Linked DNA regions of Cricetulus griseus. Each later gene encodes a partner of the first gene's protein in a complex. Links are inferred from orthologs where the notes say so. Each region holds a gene or a part of one and is shown on either strand. Other genes may lie near its edges.

Region 1 (4,247 bases):
TGGAGCAGGGTCACTTTACCATGACGTGACTGAGGCTGGGAGTTCTCCCTTGAAGCTGTCATCTCTGTGGGAAATGTGTTGACATTATTCAAAGGAGTGAGAGGGCCCAGATCTTTATGGTCAATGTCACTTTTATCACCTCTGCCCTCTAACCATAAGGCTGCCATTCCATACTCAGACTGCTGACTTACTCAAGCAAACCTTTCTCTTCAGAGGGGAGGGGTAAACCTCATTTTCCCTCAAATGCCATGACTTAGCTGCCAATTATCCTGCCCAGATTCAGTCCTGGAGCACAATAAACAAATTAGGCCAAACACAAAGTATACCCCCGGAGCGCCCATCCTACTCAGTCCAGCCCTCTGATTTGAGCATTTCTGCCTTCCTCTTCCACCAAATGCTCTGGGTGTCTTGGTAAACTTCCTGCTGCTCTTCCCCTTTTTTGTAAGACTACATGTTTATAATCATATGAAACAAGCAATAAATAGATGAATCAAGTCAACAGCCCAAGGAATCTTTGCAAACAACATCATTACCAAGTGTATGAGCTGCATTTCGGCCAGTATCAAGCTGCGTGAACATAGAAAGATACAAAGCAGAATTATTTCCTGTAAATTCCCAGTGACACACTGGCGGGGGCCCCACCTACTTGAGATGATTATAAAAGACAGAGAAGCCTGACTCAGGCATAAGTCTCCAGGGCAGAGAGGGAGTCACCTCATTGGAGCTTGAGTCGGCAAAGGTATTGTCCTTATCACATCTGAGGCTATGGAGATTGTCTTTTGTTTGCTCCTTGACTGTCTTCTCTCAAGGCACCTTCTGTAAGGCTATAGTCTGTTCTCTTTCTTTCTCTTGTTGTTCCTGATTTGGTGTGTAAGCTGGAATCACAGATTTCAGAGAAGAGCTCTCTTTCTAGTGATAAGGACCTGAGGGGGCAGCTGAACAGGATTCCTGGGAGGGAATCCATCAGTTCAGCCTAATCTTTTCCTGTAGATAGGAAATTTCTACTGACAAAAATGAGATATGCTGGTTCCCGTTCTCTATCTCCCTCGCCTCTATAGAAGGCAGATACCTCATGCAGGTGGTTTTCCTTTTTTTTTTTTTCCTTATCCTATTCACCTTTATTGAATGCCTACTATGTGTGATGGAATGGGCTGGACACAAAGAATACCAAGATAGAGAAAACATTCTAAAACAAATGTACAAGTTAAGAGAGGAGAACAAAGCTTATACAAATAATGTAAGGGCGTATGAAGAAGAATAGAGGAAATTCTGGGCATGTGATAAGTCAGCCACTCATTGTAGTTTCTCAAGAAGAGCGAAGCAGGGTCACTGCCCTTGCAAGCACGGGGTTCAGAGGTGGAGAGCTGACCACCACTGTTCTTTTGTAGAGGTCAAGATGGCCAAAGTTCCGGACTTGTTTGAAGACCTGAAGAACTGTTACAGGTAAGAAACACATTCTACTTTTTGTGATTCAATGACTCCAACTAGGTGTTCAAGTGGCCAGTCAAGTGCCATGTTGTCAGAGGCTCTGTAGATATACACTGGCTCTGAAGTCCAGTCAAGACCAGAGAAGAGCTAGAAGGATAAGACCTCCAACATGCTAAAGTGGTATTTCCCTGAGTGAAATGGGAATTTAGAAAAATATTTTTGAGGTGTACTGACTCCTACATAATCTTAAATTAACATCAACTTAGGCACTTGATAGAGTTTGTATGCTCTATACAGCAGCAGCTATTAATGAACTGTTTGAGAGAAAATTCATTCTTGGGAGAACCTGCTCCCAGTCAAGAGGAGGAAACAGCTCTTGGGCACATGAACTCATACCCACAGTGAAACTTCACCCTGATACAGAAGATAAATGAGCAGAGCTGAAATTCTAGAACATTCTTAACTAACAAGATGTTTTTGTTTGCAATTAATGTTAATGCTAATGAAGCTACAAACTAGTGCTTGAATACTGTTAAATATAGAATCTGTTTTAGTATGTGAAAACAATGTATGACAAAGTGTATCTGAAGTACTTCAAAAGTTTCTCTTTTCTTTTAGCAGCTTCAGCCTTTCCTGAAGTCCAATAAGGCTCTTTGATTTATTAATCATGCCTAATTTTTACAGATAAAGTGCAAAGCTGTTCTAATAATTACTAACTCCAAATTAGTAGACAAATGAGTTACTATGTGTGTAGACATGAATATGCAGAAGTCTTTAGCTTTTCAAAGAGTAGTGTGTGTGTGTGTGTGTGTGTGTGTGTGTGTGTGTGTGTGTGTGTGTGTGTTCGTGTGCCCAAGTTACTGTAAGGCTGACTCTCATCCTGACTGGGATCGAGTTCTCCAAAGAAAGAAGTAACTCTTAAACAGCCACTAAAACCCAGTGCTGTGTTAGAGCATTCAGACTCAATAGTACCTATGTCTAAATCAGTATTCAGGAATGTTGTCTGTATTACCAAAAGCTAATGTGGTCATTAAGATATGATGCCTACGGACCTCAGTGGAATGATGAACAAAAATACAGTCTCCTTATATGTTTTTGACAGTGAAAATGAAGAATACAGTTCTGCCCTTGATCATCTCTCTCTGAGTCAGGTAAGCATATGGTTATCATTCTTATAGATTTGGATTTTCTTTTTACATACTACCAGAAATGCAAAATGAAGGTTGAGTATTATACACTTTTGTTAAAGGTCTAAAATACATTTATTTATTATTAGTGAGATCACTTGCCTCTCTATACTAATAGTTAACTGGCATTCTTCATGCTCATTGACTCTTCCATAACAGAGAAGAAGGGTTATCTGAAGCCCTAAGAACTTCTGGGCCAGGCTCCTTCAAATTGTTAGTTTTGGCATCTTTAGCCAGTTGCTTCAATCCACCTCACCTGGACACCTCTCCTAACATGCTATGTTGACATCATTCTCTGATAGCCCACAGAACTGAGGGAGAGGAAGCTGGCTAAGAGAAAGGGAAAACGTCACACACACTCAGCATGTTATTTTGTGTATCTGTGATACCTGTTTTAAAAGCTGCTTCCAGAAAAATAGACACACCAACGGTATCCATGGGTCCTTGACTGCAAGGCCCCCTAGGGAGATCACCTCCTGCAGATGTTCAAGTCCTTTATATTAAGTGACCTTCTATTTATATAAAATATACATGTATTCTGAAATAACTTTAAATCATATCTAGATGTCTTAAAACTACACCTGCCACACTGTGAATGCTATAGAAACAATTGTTATACTTATGAATCAGTGATTATATTATTTAGGAAGTAATTACAAAAAGATTCACATTTTAGTACAAATGTGATTTAGGTTTAAAAAATATTTTGAACCTTAAGGTTAGTTTAATTTGAGCAGGCAACACAGAGGGCCAAAAGTATTTTTTAAAATATTTTGAGTACTCTGGAATAGATGTCAAACCTTTTGACAGAAGGATCTCACTCACCAGGATCACATGTTAATCTGTTTAATTAAAATTTTTTCTTTTTGAGCCTAAAGGTGGGTGAAAAGACCCCCCCTCAACCCCAGCCTTGGTTTCAGGGAAATCCAAGAATGGAATGGAGCAGAAGGGAAGGAAGGGCAGTGGAGGATGAGAGGGGAGGGAGGGATGAAGCACAGGTTGGTTCCCTACACCCAGAAGGGAGATCCGTCTCACTAAGTCTGTAGGATACAGACCCTACTAAAGAGTCTCATCATGAGGTCATAGGTAAGCGCTCAGGTGCCACTTCCCTTCCTTACAGAAATCCTTCTACGATGCAAGCTGTGGCTCACTTCATGAGAATTGCACAGATAAATTTGTATCTCTGAGAACCTCTGAAACCTCAAAGGTGTCCAACTTCACCTTTGAGGAGAGCCTAGTGATGGTGGCAGCATCATCAGACTCAGGGAAGATTCTGAAGAAGAGACGGCTGGGCTTCAATCAGGCCTTTGCTGAAGATGACCTGGAGACCATAACCCGCAATTTAGAAGGTAAGGGATGAAACATAACAAAAATCCAATTTTTTAGTTTTAAGAAAATGATGATAATGAAGTAGAAAGAAAATAAATCTTGGAACCAAAATAATAGGACATTAGGTCAATAACTATAACAAAGAAAGATTAAATGCTGCTCTTCTCCAGAAGGGAGAGATCAATGGTAACCTGAGTCTAGAACAGTTGTTGAAGGGTTCCTTTCTTGGCTGTATTATAAAGGTCATCCAAAGGTCTTTGGTTGGAGAGAAAGCAGTCACAGTCCATTAGCCCATGACCTCTA
Region 2 (3,686 bases), on another chromosome or scaffold:
AGGGGACTGGAGAGATGGCTCAGCAGTTAGGAGCACTGGCTGCTCTTCCAGAGGACCCACAGTTCACAATTGTCTATAACTCTAAGATCTGACACCCTCACACAAACATAAATGCAGGCAAAACACCAATGCACATAAAATAAAAATAAACAAATTATTAAAACAGTAACAGCACAACACAAAAAGAAAGAAAAAAGCTAAAAGAGGGCTGGGGGTGTGACTCCTTCCAATTGCCTAACATGTGCAAGATCTTAGGTTAATCTTCAACACTGCAAAAACTAATTGAATGAATTAACCTTAACTGCTGTGACAGTTAATTAGAGGTATATGAGTAAAATGTTTAGCAGGCGTTCATTATTATCATTACCAGCCAAAGAACAAACTCCAGGAGTTATATGGGGGAAACTGGGAGCTAGAGCCATGGAGCTGAGCCCCAGGAACGGCCTGCCTCAAATATCCGTATTTTTCACTGATCAACTAAGCACCTACTTAACGCAAGACCTATTGCTATGACACATTTGCTCAAGGGCCTGAGTTCTGTCCTCAACACCAGAGGGACAAAAAAAAAAAAAACCTCATTGTAGGTAGAATGCTAGATGTTGTAGGATATTTGAAGATGAATCACAGTCCTTGCCTTCAAAGTGCCTACAATTTTCATTTTTTTCACCGCAGATAAAGACCCTTTCCCTGGTCTCAAGAAAAGAAATTCAGATAGAAATCTGTGTTTCAAGAAGGAAGTTTTTATTTGGGGGAGTGGAGTTCTGCCTGGCCCTGCCCAGCAGGCCGTGCTGGGCCCCCATCCCAGCAAGCAGGCTTTACTTCTTCCGGATTTCCAAGGCTTTCTCCTTCCTGATTTCCTTCGCCAGTTCCCCAATCAGTCTCCAGTACTCATTGAACTTCAGCTCCGAGTCCTGGTTCACATCCAAGCTCTTCATCTTCTCGTCAAGAGAGCCCACGTCCTACAAAGACATAAAAGGGTTAGAAACTAGGGCTCTTGAGGCAGAGAGAGTGGGAAGAACCATCAGGTGCTTCTCTCAGACATCGATGCCTGCCCAAGGATGAGGCTGTAGACCCAGGACTGCACTGCCTGAGGTCCCACATCCAAGGGACACCAGCAGACCCTGTGGCTGAGCATAAGCTGTCTTCTTCCTTGCATTACTGCCAATACTGCTCATTTGCATCATCCTAACATCTCAACTTAGTCACCACCGAGTAGGTCAGAGGAATAGCAAAAACACTGAGGGTGTTTTCTAGGGTGCTCTTGACAAAGTATCTCATGGCTATAAAACCAATGGATTCTGTAAGCCCTGATGAAAGGATTTGTTGCCAGATAAACAATTTCAACCATAAGTGTCATTGTTGAATCACTGGTGGGTGTCAGATTGAAGAATGTCTCACATGGAGCTTGATTCTCAACATTGAGGGGTTTCTTGGGAGGGGGTTAGATTCATTCATTTTATTTTATGTGTATTTTGCCAACATGTGATATGCATATGTATCACATGCATGCCTGGTGCCCACAGAGATCACAAAAAGATCACAAAAAGATCACAAAAGGATCTCTATTGCTGTTAAGAGACACTATGGCTGGGCGTAGGTGGCCCATGCCTTTAATTCCAGCACTTGGGAGGCAGTGGCAGGTGGATCTCTGTGAGTTCGAGACCAGCCTGATCTACAACAGGTATTTCCAGGGCAGCCTCCAAAGCCACAGAGAAACCCTGCCTAGAAAAACCAAAAGGGGGGAGGGGGACACCATGACCTCGGCAATTTCTTATAAAGGAAAACATTTAATTGAGGTGGTGGCTTACAGTTCAGAAGTTTATTCCATTATCATCATGGCAGGAAGCATGGTGGCATACAGACAGACATGGTGCTGGCTATATCATGATCAGAAGGCAACAGGAAGTGGACTGTCTCCCTGGGCATGACTTGAGCATATATGAACCCTCAAAGCCTGCCTCTGCAGTGAAACACTTCCTCCAACAAGACCATTCCTACTCTAACAAGGCCACACCTCCTAATAGTGCCATTCTGTAGGGAGACACCCTAGCCCTGCCCAATAGTCCTGGGACAGGTACCAGGTGGACCCGGGACTCGCCCATAAGGGCGTGGTGAAGGAAAGCCGGGGTGACGTAAGGGAGCTTCTTAAGGAGCTGCACGTGGGGACCTTGGCCCCTTTTGTTCTGGCCGTGCTTGCTGGGTTCTATAACCTAGCTCTGGCCTGTGTTTTGCCCTGGTGTCTTCTTGAATAAAGAGATTCAAATCCTTACACCATTCCCTTTGGGGGCCATTTTCTTTCAAACCAACCAAGGCTACTCTCTGAACAGAAGTTACAGATGGATCTGAGCTGCCATGTGGGTGCTGGGAACTGAGTCTCAGTCCTTTGCAAGTGCAGTTTACCTAACCACTGAGCAATCTCTCCAGCCTCCATGTTTAACATTTGGGTAAACATCTAGACAAAGGCAAAGATCTGCCAAACAAATCTCTAGCACTTGAGAGGCAGAGGCAGGTGGATCTCTCTGAGTTCAAGGCCAGCTTGGTCTGCAGAGAGAGTTCCAGGACAGCCAGGGCTACACAGAGAAGCCCTGTCTCAAAAAACAAAACAGGAGGAAGAGGAGGAGGAGGAAGGAAGGAAGGAAGGAAGGAAGGAAGGAAGGAAGGAAGGAAGAAGAAAAGAAGGAAGGAAGAAAGAAAGAAAATATAAAGAGAAATCCTATTTAATATTTTTTAAGTGAAGTAGCACGTATGCATAAATGTCACAATTAGGCCTCCTCTAAGAAAACTGAATTAAGGAATTGGAAAATAAAAGCCAAATTTCTCCCTCTTCACACTAAGCATAGAAAGTTAATTTGGGTTCTACCTGTTTTTGGTTTGTTTTGAGACAAATTCTCACTGTATAGCCCAAGCTAGCCTTGAATTCTAGCTCTTTATCCCACGTGGGAGTGTACAGGGCTAACAGATTAGAATGCTGTGATTTCAAAGAGTTGGAATGTTGCAGATACAGGGCTAAGATCATTTTGGGCTATTTTTAGCCCCTTAGTCTTTTAGCCACTTAGCACTCACCTTCTGTATCCCATTTAACCTCAGGTAAAACCTTTGGAAAGTATTAACTTGCTGCTAGCTTTCACCAACGTAAAGCTAAGCATGTCATCAGATAGCTTATAGCAGCAGCCTGATCTACAGAGCAAGCTCCAGGACAGGCTCCAAAGCTACAGTGAAGCCCTGCCTCAAAAAACAAAAACAAAAAAATATCTATAGCAGTGACCTCCCAGCTTTGCTTTGCTGTAAAATCTGCCTGGCCTGATAACCTCACAAATATAATCAATAAATGCCTTGAATTAGTACTTTCCTCTGTTCTGGGACTCTAAAAACTTCATGGGGCTGCTGTGGGACAATCTTTGTACACTGTAAATATGTATTATTCTCATGGGTTAATAAAAGAGCTGACTGACCTTATTGCTGGGCAGGACAGCCAGACTAGGAGGACGCTGGGAAGGAGGGCAGAGGCTAAGGAGATGCCATGAGCAAGCAGGAAGGGAAATACATACATGAGGTAAACAAGCCTCAGGACAGCACATAGATTAATGGAAATAGGTTAATTTAAATTGTAATAGTAACAAGTCTAGCTATTGGCCAAACATTTACAATTAATAAGTCTCCGTGTGGTTATTTGGGAACCAGATGGC

What was found.
Region 2: the proteins of Il1a (region 1) and S100a13 are in contact, whole or in part, in an NMR structure (PDB 2L5X), measured with the Homo sapiens proteins. The link is inferred for Cricetulus griseus from reciprocal best matches to the Homo sapiens genes IL1A and S100A13. Residues at the interface, in NP_000566.3 of Homo sapiens: Asn148, Gln150, Tyr151, Thr194, Ala195, Gln196, Asp197, Leu203, Leu204, Lys205, Glu206, Met207, Gly216, Ser217, Glu218, Thr219, Asn220, His239; in NP_001019381.1 of Homo sapiens: Met1, Arg25, Gln26, Glu27, Gly28, Arg29, Lys30, Asp31, Ser34, Asp68, Ser69, Glu70, Lys72, Phe73.

Annotation. Positions count from the first base shown.
Region 1 is NC_048599.1:49,261,255-49,265,501, forward strand, and holds the start of Il1a (interleukin-1 alpha), read left to right. Parts: upstream 1-1,396; coding exon 1,397-1,443; intron 1,444-2,530; coding exon 2,531-2,579; intron 2,580-3,735; coding exon 3,736-3,964; intron 3,965-4,247. UniProt on the Homo sapiens protein: Cytokine constitutively present intracellularly in nearly all resting non-hematopoietic cells that plays an important role in inflammation and bridges the innate and adaptive immune systems.
Region 2 is NW_023276806.1:64,027,843-64,031,528, forward strand, and holds the end of S100a13 (protein S100-A13), read right to left. Parts: intron 960-3,686; coding exon 816-959; 3' UTR 721-815; downstream 1-720. UniProt on the Homo sapiens protein: Plays a role in the export of proteins that lack a signal peptide and are secreted by an alternative pathway. Binds two calcium ions per subunit. Binds one copper ion. Binding of one copper ion does not interfere with calcium binding.